Drosophila melanogaster: one gene and its partners. The protein of the gene in region 2 binds, or shares a complex with, the protein of the main gene of each other region. Each region holds a gene or a part of one and is shown on either strand. Other genes may lie near its edges. The genes, in order: ttm50, Tim17a1 and ttm2.

The links.
Region 1: Tim17a1 (region 2) and ttm50 share a complex: the UniProt entries of both Drosophila melanogaster proteins name them as parts of the TIM23 complex.
Region 3: Tim17a1 (region 2) and ttm2 share a complex: the UniProt entries of both Drosophila melanogaster proteins name them as parts of the TIM23 complex.

Annotation. Positions count from the first base shown.
Region 1 is NC_004354.4:2,730,472-2,734,223, forward strand, and holds the start of ttm50 (tiny tim 50), read right to left. Parts: upstream 1,720-3,752; 5' UTR 1,578-1,719; coding exon 1,319-1,577; intron 1,247-1,318; coding exon 1,063-1,246; intron 1,007-1,062; coding exon 478-1,006; intron 419-477; coding exon 295-418; intron 236-294; coding exon 45-235; 3' UTR 1-44. Other genes in the region: CG2712 (uncharacterized protein), read left to right, coding at 2,094-2,699, 2,760-3,014, 3,085-3,729. UniProt on the Drosophila melanogaster protein: Essential component of the TIM23 complex, a complex that mediates the translocation of transit peptide-containing proteins across the mitochondrial inner membrane.
Region 2 is NT_033777.3:12,363,125-12,366,790, forward strand, and holds Tim17a1 (Tim17a1), read right to left. Parts: upstream 1,557-3,666; 5' UTR 1,462-1,556; coding exon 793-1,461; 3' UTR 543-792; downstream 1-542. Other genes in the region: GstD10 (glutathione S transferase D10), read right to left, coding at 1,789-2,421; GstD9 (glutathione S transferase D9), read right to left, coding at 3,117-3,666. UniProt on the Drosophila melanogaster protein: Essential component of the TIM23 complex, a complex that mediates the translocation of transit peptide-containing proteins across the mitochondrial inner membrane.
Region 3 is NT_037436.4:273,584-277,319, reverse strand, and holds ttm2 (tiny tim 2), read right to left. Parts: upstream 2,166-3,736; 5' UTR 1,983-2,165; coding exon 753-1,982; 3' UTR 653-752; downstream 1-652. Other genes in the region: miple2 (midkine and pleiotrophin 2), read right to left, coding at 2,431-2,453, 2,513-2,725, 3,070-3,216, 3,290-3,736. UniProt on the Drosophila melanogaster protein: Essential component of the TIM23 complex, a complex that mediates the translocation of transit peptide-containing proteins across the mitochondrial inner membrane.

The DNA of each region.
Region 1 (3,752 bases), on a different chromosome or scaffold from region 2:
TTAAGGTATGCGTATGGAACGGGTTGTGCGGTATGGCCAGCCTCCTAGCGGCCGAGAATGTTGCGCGACCACTGTTTGACCATTGGCTTGGTCTTGGACTGCTCGATGCGTTCCGCCTCCAGCATTTGTTCGGCCAGCTTGCGCTGGTTCTCCCGGAACTGGTTGATGGGATCGTCGAACTGGCGATAGTAGTGGAGCACCTCGCGCACGTCGTCCACGTTGTTCTGCGCAATTACTGTAGCGAATTGCAAGGGTCAGTGTTTAGCTTTCAATGTCACTTGTGGCGCAACTTACTCTTTAGGAAAGCGATAAGGTCCAGCAGTTGGCCATCATCGTCGTTGCCATGCCAGCGGGCCAAGCCGAATGTGTTGTCCGGATGCATCTTGGTGGCATTCGCATCCCAGTCCACAACAATCACCTAAAATACTCCCTTCTTTATAGATGATTGCAATAGAAAATACGTTGTGCATGACTTGCCTTCTTGAGGTCGCGATTAAGGTTGTCCAGGTTCTTCACATGATGGCCGTCCACAAAGTGCGTGGCATCCCTGACCAGGCGGTACATAATGTAGCCGTTGGGATCGAGGGCATCCAGGATGGGGAACACGGTCATGCCCTGTTCGGCGGTGAAGACGACAATTTCAAAGTCCTTGGCGCACTCGGCCAGAAAGTGGTCGACGCCGGGACGCTTCTTGAAGCGCCAGCCAGTTTGGTAAGTCCAGTCCGGATGCACCAGCACGTCCTTCATCTCCAGCACAAGCGTGTAGCGCGGCTGCACGTACGGCGGCTTGAGCGGATCGGGCAGCAGTTTGGCGCGCGACGGCTCCTGGATCATGCGCTGATAGTAGTGAATGCTCTTCCACATCCGCTGCAGATACTGCTGTACCAGCGGCTTGTGTGTGAACTCGTCCTCGATGGGCTGCCCGTTGGGGTCCACCTCGGGCTTGCCGAACTCGTAGACGGCCCAGAATCCAGCAGCCACGGCGCTGCCTCCGAATATTGCAAAGCTGCAGCAGGAAGTATTGTTATAATACTGTTACGCATTGAATGGGCGTCAGCTTACCCCAGCTTCATGCGCTTCCAGGCACGCTCGTTCTCCTTTTCCTCCTCCTCCTCGCGCTTCTTGCGCTCCTGCTCGGCGTTGCTGTCCACCTCCGGCGAGGTCTGAGGAAAGAGCTTGGCCAGCAGCGGGGCATTCGGTGCGACCTCGGGCGCATCATTGGGGCCAGTGGCTCCAGCTTCCTGCTCTGCGAAACGAAAGTGGCCAAGGATGAATGTTTAGGACTCTACTGTTTAGGACTCTACCGTGAATCACTTACTGGTTGTGCTGCTGTAGCCACGCGCTGTGTGCAGGATCGAGAAGAGCGCCGGAGCAGCCGCTGGCAGTGCTGTGCAAGTGAATAGTCGGAGGTACTGCTGCTGGTGGTGGAGGAGGTGGTGCTGGTGCTGGTAGTGTTGGTGGTAGTGGTGGTAGTGATTACCCAATGCGCGGTGCTGGTGGATGTGGGTAAGAAGACGCGGCGTGCTAAGGCCGCGCAGCAACTGGAGGACGGTGGCCGGTGCCATGCTCATGCTCATGCTTCCCCCTTCCTTCCCGATATCGAGTCCTAGAGCCGTTCACGAGTCCTGCTCGGATGGCAGCGACTTTTTACTTATAAAAAATTCCAACAAAAATTTCAACTTCCCACCGGCACGGCGTTGGCGTTAGGGATTTTATATACTGTCCACTGCCAGGCGGCACCAGGCGTTAGTACATTTAGCACGTGGCTCTCAGCAGGTATAGATCGGCGATTTTCAAGCCAAATCTGGCGGGATTTTGCAGATAACTGCGTGTGTACATATGTTGCCTCCGGCAATCTGACTAATCACAGTATTAAGAAAATTTTAAATTAAAATATTTTAAATAATATGGAAATACACAACCTTTGACCAACCACCAAGCCACTGTGCCTCTGGTCACTTCCAAGCTGATGTGCCTGGCTAGCTATTTTGAGTGCCACCACTAACGCATCAGCTGGACTTTGGCATCACTGTTCGGGACGCTAAATTAAGTTATTTATTTAAACGTGTATTATCTACTGTCGAGTTCAATCCATGACGACCATGTCGCCGCCGTCCCCCATGGACGCCTTGTGCCGCGTGTGCCACACAGCATCGCCGCGCTGCCTGCCGCTCTTCAAACCGCTCGACGATCCAATTTCCGGCAAACCAGCGACGCTGGCCAGCATTTTAAGCTACTGCAGCGGTCTGGAGATCCTAGAGGCGGAGCTCTTCCTGCCCCACCACATCTGCCCGGACTGCGTGGCCAAGTTGCGGCTCTCGCTGGAATTCAAGCGGAGTGTCCATCGCATGGACAGAATTCTGCGGCAGAGTCATGCGGACTTTTGCCGCAGCAAAAAGATCAGCGCGGTGAATACTAGGGCCAGGCTGTCAACCGAGATTCCGGAGGATTTTGTACTCGTGCTCGATGACCAGGAAGTGACTGAATATCCAGCAGAAACGATACGAGATGAGGAGCAACTCCTGGTCGTAGAATCAGATGAGGCGGAGAGCCGGCTGGAAGCGCCAATTGTACAGGAGGAGAGGCTGGATATTGCACTGGAACAGCACGAAGACGATCTCTGCGAGATTGTCGACGATCCGGATCCGGAGCAACGTAGGAGCAGGTTAGAAAGATCCGAGCCAGCGCTGCAATGTCCCGTGAGTTGCCTTTCCGAATTAGAAGTAAGTAATCACGAAATAGTTTCCCATCTTCGGCAGATTTGCGGCAAACAACTGGCTAGGAAGCGGACCTTTCAGTACCACATGAGGCTACATGGCCAGCCAAAAATTCGCCAAGAAGACAACGACCACTGCATTGAAGAGTGCCTCCAAGTGGAGCCCGTTTTGCAGGCCAAAGCTGGCGAAGATGTCTACGAGATTGTGGAGAAATCAGCACAGACTTCGGCGACGCAGAAAACTTTGCCCAGTGGAAGCCGGCCTTGGAAACCCCTCAATCCCTCCCTACAGTGTAAAGTAAGTTGGTCATCGCAGCTCGCAAATAACTCAAAGCCGAAGGTCATCAATTCTCCCTCCATTCCTTTAGATCTGTGGCAAGCAACTAAGCACCAACAACTCCTTCAAGTACCATATGCAGCTACATGGCACGGCCACGCCCTACGTTTGCACAATCTGCGGAGAGTCCTTTAAGACGCGAAACGCCCGCGACGGCCATGTCACGCTGCACGATCGTAACAATCCGAACAGGTGCCCCACCTGCTTCAAGGTCTACCGGCAGGCGTCCTCGCTGCGCACACACCTTCTAATCCACAGCGGAATCAAGCCATTCGAGTGCAGCATCTGCGGCAAGAGGCTAACACAGAAGTCGGGCTACAAGAAGCACATGCTCACCCACACGGGCGAGAAGCCGCACGGCTGCGACATTTGCGGCCGTCGCTTCCGCTACTCGAGCAATCTGATTGCCCACAAGCGCTGCCACAGCCAGGAGAAGCCCCACCCGTGCCCGGTGTGCCAGAAGCGCAGCTTCGGCAGCACATCCGAGCTCAACCGCCACATGCTCGTCCACAGCAGCGAGCGACCGTTCGGCTGTGAGCAGTGCGGCAAGTCCTTCAAGCGCCGCATCTCACTCGCCATCCATCGCCAGTCGCACAAGGCGGGCAGACAGCGGAGGCGGGCCGAGCATGAAGTGGGTGTCCAACTGGAGGAGCAGGACGAGAATGTGGAGACCTGAAGCTAGATCGCTTATACTATCGG
Region 2 (3,666 bases):
TGAACCCTATCCTGGTAACCACCTTCCAATTCTCTGCGCTCTGTTCTGTCTCATCAACTAGTTTAATTCTTAATTTTGTATTAATTTATGATTTTCTTTAATTATAATAAAAGATTCGAAACGATTTTGATAAGTGGACAACGGCATTATTTATTTTTTTGTTAATTTGATATAGCATTGAACGTTTAAATTGATTTATTTAAGGATATTATGATAGAATCATAAATACCTCTTTTCCAGGGTAGAGGTTAGATATTAATAAATGCTTTTTATTAAATCTACAGATCCTAAGAACCCTCTTTCAAATTGTATGATATTGTTCAGCGCTGCAGATATGAATATAAATCTGTTCCGAGTTTTGTTTTCCATACGATGAAATAATTGTACAAATTTGAATTATAAAAACCAAAAAAAAGTTCTGTTTCAAGCTGAGCCATTTGAAGTATAACACAAGAGAAAATGCTACAGTCGAGTTTCCCGACTACCAGATATCCGTTACTCAAGTAGTGGGATTTTTCTGGGATATCTATAGATTGGGAAATACATACATACATTGTTTTATTCAACCTTTAAAAAAATAAAGCCACAAAATAAAGTGTTTCGAACTTGAAATTCTGACGCCAAGAAGTATGCTATGATTTTGATAGTAGATAAGCTTTAGTATCTTATGCGTTTTGTATATTACGATCATGAAATGAACGGTGAAAACTAGTACATGCACACAATTTTGATGAGTGATTGTTGAGAACGAAAGATTGAATGAAAATGAAAACCCTTTTTTTTTGGGCAACACTAGAACATCTGGGACAGTTTCACCAGATCCAAGAGGGAATAAAATGGCTTCTGTTTGGAATCTCGCTCGTGACTCTTAACCGGAATGTCCTGAAGTAAATTTGGTTCCCTGCTCGCCCGACATTTGTCCAGCACCCGTTCAAACTCCGCCAGTGCGAAATCTTGAGTGGATGACGCTCTCTTCGGATCAATAGTCTCCAGTATGGCCTCCCACTGGGCCCGCTGCGGCTTGATGACTATCCCTGCACCTTTGTCGGCTGCATTAATGGTGGCCACTGCTGCACCGGCTCCTTCAATCATGGCCAGCACCAGACAGCCCACCAGAGCACTGTTGGCCATGGCCCGAATGCCATTACGGGCTGCCAATATCCCACCAGTGGCCGCTCCACTGAGTATCGAGTTCCAGGCATCCTCCCTCTGGCGATAGTGGACCAGGGCGCAATCCACTGTGCTGAAAGTGGCACCCCAAACGGCAAAGCTGCCGGCAATGGACGGCGTTCTCATCTTCACCAAATCAATGCCACCATAAAGTCTGCGCTGCAATCCGGTAGGAGCGTTACGGAAACCCTTGAGGAACTCGAACAGCGAACCACCGATGGTGCCCATCATGAAGGCACATCCGCAATCCTCCACAATCCTAATGGGACACGGCTGGCGATTGTACTCCATGGCCTTGACTTACTATATCAAAACCTTTGGGTATACTAATATTCTTCAAGTGGCTTCAAATCAAAAACTTGTGTTTTGGAAATAGACTTTTGAGTAAACATAATACGAAGTGTTTGGGATGCTGACGTTTGCGTCCTTTCTAGATGTTTACAATTTTATGATATTAAATTTGTATTTCAAAAAACGGATTAAACTTTAAAAGTGAATTTTTTTTATTTAACTATTGAAATGTCTATCGAAATCCAGCCCAGTCTTAATCTTTAAATATATAGTTTTTTCTTGATAACCGAATAATAGGTGTTTTATCAGTATTTCGGGTTCATATATTCAGTTATCGAAGTATTTGCGGAACTCCTGGCAACCAGCCCAGTTTTCCTCCCAACCGGGAGTCAGTTTCTTGGCATTCTCGTACCAACGTGCCACATTGGCATACCGCTTGAAATCGAAGCCAGCCACATCGAAAGTGGAAACGGTGGCCAGAAAGGCAATATCCGCCAAGCTATAATCCCCTCCAGCGCTGTAGGTCTGCCCCTCCAGGAATGTGTTTAGGAATTCGAAGGCCACTTCGATCTTCTTGTAGTTCTCCTCATTGGCGGGCTTCTTTAGGAAAATCTGCGGATAATAGTACTCGGAGAAGCTCTTATACAGCGTACCCATGTCGAAGTACAGGCGCTGATTGATCAACGCCTGCTTTTGCACATCCTTGGGGAAGAGCTTGTCGTCCTTGCCGTACTTCTCCACCAGATAAACCATAATCGCCCGCGACTCCCACAAAGCAAATCCATGGTCGTGCAGCGTGGGGATCGTGTGCTGCGGATTGATTTTCAGGTATTCCGGCGTGAATTGCTCCCTAGCTCGGGTGTTGATAATGGTCTTCTTATCGAACTCCACACCCAGTGCCTTGGCTGTCATCAGAACAGAGCGGCAGGGAGCAGATCCGGGTCTATAGTATAAATCCATCTTACGCTATCTCACTTTCTGAAGGGATCTCTGGAAACTGAATAAAAAAAAAAACGAACAGCTAATCACTTTCTCATTTCGTTCGCTGAACCTGGTTACGCAATCTCTATAATAAATTCATCAAAAACAACAAAAGTATACATACCTACGTGGTAATCAAATATACTCGGCTGCTCTGCTGGAGTCAAAACGCGACAAACGACTGAAAAATTCTCTGCGGTTTAGTCGTGTTTTATAAGAAATAGAAGATAACCACAAAAAATACTCGTAGAATGTTTCGGGGCTGATGGATCAATTAGGTATAGGTGATAATAGTCAGCAATTTTTGGGCTAGCACTGGACACAAGAGAAACTTCTGGAAGAGCAGAGTGCAGCTGTATTACCAATTTCATTTCGTTTAGCTTCCCGTTGAACTAAACTTTACGTAAATCATGAATTAGTACAGGTGTTTGTCCAAAATTACCATTTGAATTTAATTGTTTTGGCTATCGCTAAAATCACGGCAGGTGGCATTTCAGCAAACCGACACGTAGCAATATCTTATCGCTATCAGAATGTTTGGAGCAGAGGATCCTCTGCCTTATCGCTGTACAAAAGCCAACAACTCTTCGTTTATTATACTCATTGTCATTTCACAATGTCTCACTCTTTATTCAAACAGGTCGATACAGATTAGATTATTTATTACAGACCCGTCATTGTTTGTTCAAAATCGCACCCAGATACAATTTCTTGTAGTACTCGCAGCCCTCCCAGTTCTCCTCCCAGCCGGGTATCACTTTCTTGGCATTGTCGTACCACCTAACCACTTCCGGATATTTACCAAAATCATATTCCGATATTTCAAAAGTGGAAACGGTGGCCAGAAGCGCAAAATCGGCCAGAGTCAACTTGTTGAGGGCGGCGTACTGCTGACCCTTCAACAGAGTATTGAACATAGCGAAAGCATCATCGATCTTCTTGAGGTTATCGGGATCAGCTGGCTTCTTCACATCCTCGAACAACTGGGGATAGTAGTAGTACACGTAGCTCTGGTACAGAGTACTCAGATCGAAAAACAGGCGCTGATTGATCACGGCTCTCTGCTGGGGATCCTTGGGATAAAGGGAGCCATCTTTATCGTACTTCTCGGCCAGATAAATCAGTATAGCCCTCGACTCCCAGATGGCGAAACCATCGTCAACCAGCGTGGGAATCGTATGCTGAGGATTGATCTTTACAAATTCCGGCTTAAGATGCTCGCCG
Region 3 (3,736 bases), on a different chromosome or scaffold from region 2:
CAAGGATGCTGAGCCAAAGAGATTGCAGGATGCCGATGTGGGAGAGTACCAGACAAAGTGCCAAATGAACCAACGCCTGCGCCCTGGCTCGCCAGTTTGACGTCCGCAGTATACTTCCACCACCGAATTGTTGTGTGTTTTCAACATAAGGAGAAGAGGCCCAGCCAGCCACGAACCCTCAGCCAGAATCAAAATCTGCATCGAAAGTAACTAGACGGAAGGCTTACAGTACACCTGATCCCTTTACTTACTTATGCCAACATTCGGATGAATGTTCGCAGGGACGATACTGCGCATGACTCACCTAGTGGTGTGAAGTGCGTAGTTGTTGATTGTGGAAACATTCCCTCAAGAGTACACATGTGTCGTAGTTATTTTGGCACGTGCTCACGCACACCATCACATGGCAGCAACATGTTGCTGAGCTTGCGTGCTCGTGCTGGACTGAGGATTTCTGGAAGCCTGCATTCATATAAAACCGTAACACAACATTTTTCACAACATTACGGCTATGTATCCGCCTAGTGGCTGCACTGTTACCTTCAAGGAAGCATTGACGTTCCGCAGGGCAGTCTGCTTTAAATGCCAAATCAGAAATCATATGTTTTCAGACTTTTTCAATCAGAATACGCAAAAAACTGCAAAAGTAACTGCTGTTAGTAGGTAGACATTGAAGAATGCTAGGAAAGTTTTAATGTAATTTTTTGGGTGAATTAACAGTATTTAAGGGACACATCAAACGCACAATCTTTTTAATGATTTATGAAGCCACGGGTCCAGTTCTTGACAACGGGCCTAGACTTGCTAGTTTTTTCTACCTCCTCGGCGTGCATTAGCTCACCCAGCTTTCGCTGGTTTTCTCTGAACTGGGATAACGAGTCACTAAACTGATTGTAGTATTGCAGCACTTCTCGGACATCGTCGATCTCACTCGTTCCTAGAACACTAAGAAACGACGTGAGTTCAAAGAGGGTAGTGTCATTGTCGTTTCCAGACCACCGCGGGATCGAGAATGAATTCGAAGGGTGAAACTTGGTGGAATTTCTATCCCAGTCCACGACAACCACTCGCTTTAGGTCTCGGTTGAGGTTGTCAAGGTTCTTCACGTGGTGCCCTCCATCAAAGTGCGTAGAGTCGCGAACCAGGCGATACATAATACAGCCGTTCGGATCAAGCGCGTCGACCAGCGGGAACACAGTAACTCCTTGCTCCGCCGTGTAAACAACAATCTCAAAATACTTGGCACATTCTTTCAAAAACACGTCAACGCCAGGGCGCTTCTTGAAGCGCCATCCTGTTTCGTAGGTCCAATCGGGATGTACCAGCACATCCTTAATCTCAAGTACCAAAGTATACGGCGGCTGCACGTAGGGGGGCTGAAGGGGATCAGGAAGCAGCTTTTTTCTCGACGGCTCTTTGAAAAACCGTTGAAAGCGGTTCACCGACTTCCATGTCCGCCACATAAGCTGCTGCATCTGTGGCAGACAACTAAATTCGTCGATTACTTCATTTCCGTGCTCATCCAAGGACGGCCTTCCATAGAAATATATAGCCCAAAACGAGAACAACATGCTACCTATGCCGAAAAGCCCAAAGCCCAGTTTCATCCGCCTAAATGCCCGCTCCAATTCCTTCTGCTCCTCCTCCTCCTCAAGTTTCCGCCGCTCACGACTTTCCTCGTCGTTGGACTCCTCAGAGGTTTGTGGAAAGAGCTTCGTTAAAATTTGCGTAGACGTCTTCTCGTACGTCGAGTAGCGTCGGTGGCCAACGTATACGACGGATGCATTGCTGAGGTTCACACGGAGTCCAAAGCACGAACAGCGCCCAAGCTCCATTCCGGGTTTTCCAACATCTCCGCCTTTACGGGGCTGCTTGACCAGTGCCCGCCGCAAGCCGGAGGTCAGCGACCGCGACGTTACAATAAGTTTGCGGCAAATCTTGGGCCAGCCACATAACACCCTTTCAATGGCTATTAAAGACATTGGTAACTTGAAGATTTGCCTCGAAAGATCGATCAATTTAAAGGGGGCTTGCAGTTAAGTAAAGAAACACTATTAAATTTAACATCTTTATATTACCAAGCCGAGTTAGAGGTAACGTTTTCTTTTGTGTAATGTTAATTAAATTTTGTCGCAGACGGTTATTTTACTGTCGCGTCTAATATTAAATAAAAACTCAGAGCCAACTAACAGTTCTATCAATGCTCTTTGATTACTCAATAACAGGTCTCATTTTGTGCAGGTTTTCGCGGTATTGGGGTTTGTGAAAGCCTTGTTTCAAGAATTTCTAAAAGAGTGCTTTCATTTAGCCCTAAGAAGGCCAATTCTTTATTGTTGTTCAAGTAGTCCGTACGGGCTAGCATTTAAAAATCGCTTATTTAATATTAAAAATGTTGCTTCCGTATACGTATAAAATAAATAATTTTCATTATCAAGACGAAATGTGACTGGCTCCTGTAAACAGAGAATTTGGATCAAACTTTTCACAAAGGGGTCAAATTCACCACTTTTACCCTTATCCTTTTGCTTTTGCTCTTTTGTTCGACGACTCTGGCCGTGTTGTTTTCCTCCACTGGAATTGCCATTTGCTTTACACTTCTTGCTGACGGTACGCACAGGATTGCAGTTTTGATCACTACCGCCAGTTGCCTCTGGTTCCAACTTATCCTCTCTGGTTATTTGTCCTCCGACGCATTGAGACCATTCACCCTTTTCATAGCGGCAGCCTACCGAAGGAAGTACGCAAAATTTCAAATTAATTTTGGAAAGTATTTGCTATTATGAAGGATGCACTCGCTGCATTGTTAGGAACAGGAACTGCAGTATTTCCTAGGAAACGAAACGAAGCTGTGGCGGGGAGAACCTCGAAGTGGGTCGAAGAGAGCACAATCCTCCCCAGAAGGAAGCATTCTTGTATATGGGTCAACAAGAGTGATTTTTGCATTTTGTGACCTTTGGACCCATTAAGCCGGCAATGACACCGCCTTGCTCTTTTATGGGAATGCCCGATTCTACTACGTTCCCCTTTTGGGGAGGCGCTGTGTAGGATTATGATACATATAGAAGTTACCGCGCGCACCTTTCTTGCACTTCTTTTGTATGGTCCGCGTGGGCAAGCAGTTTTGCTCTCCTTTCCTTAGGGACAGGACTCGTGAACGCATGTTGGTCTTGTGATCACAATTGGACCAAGCGCTCTTTGCGTATCGGCAAGTCGATCCTGTTAACAAGCAAATATAAGACTTTGCATTTAAAAACTATTTGAATTCTGACGTGGCAGTCCTAAGGCTTACCATTCTCTGGAGTCGCTGCCTTAGGCCCTTTCCTATTTCCTCCATGATGTTGGCTATGTCCTCGCTGCTGCTTGGATCCCCCTCCTCGTTGTTGCTTATCAGTGTTCTTGTGGCCTTGCTTGTGATTTGGTTGTGGTAGTTGTGATGACAGTGCCCCGCCATTTTCCGCAACCACTAGTTTTCTAGATCCCGACTTGTGGGCCCCAACCTGCTGAGAGTGCTCTTGAGGCTTGTTCGGCTTACGATTGTTCCTGGTGCGGTGGGTGTCACTATTTGTTGTGGATGCGACTGTTTCGGCCTCCAGTGTGCCCCGAGCTGGACGAATGTGTACCACATCGCCCGACCTCTTTTCCATGACCAGACGTATGCCATCAGAAAGGCTTTCGCCACGAGTTGATAGCGGATTGTGCGCCAATACCACCAAAACTAGGTGCAGAGCCGTGGTTA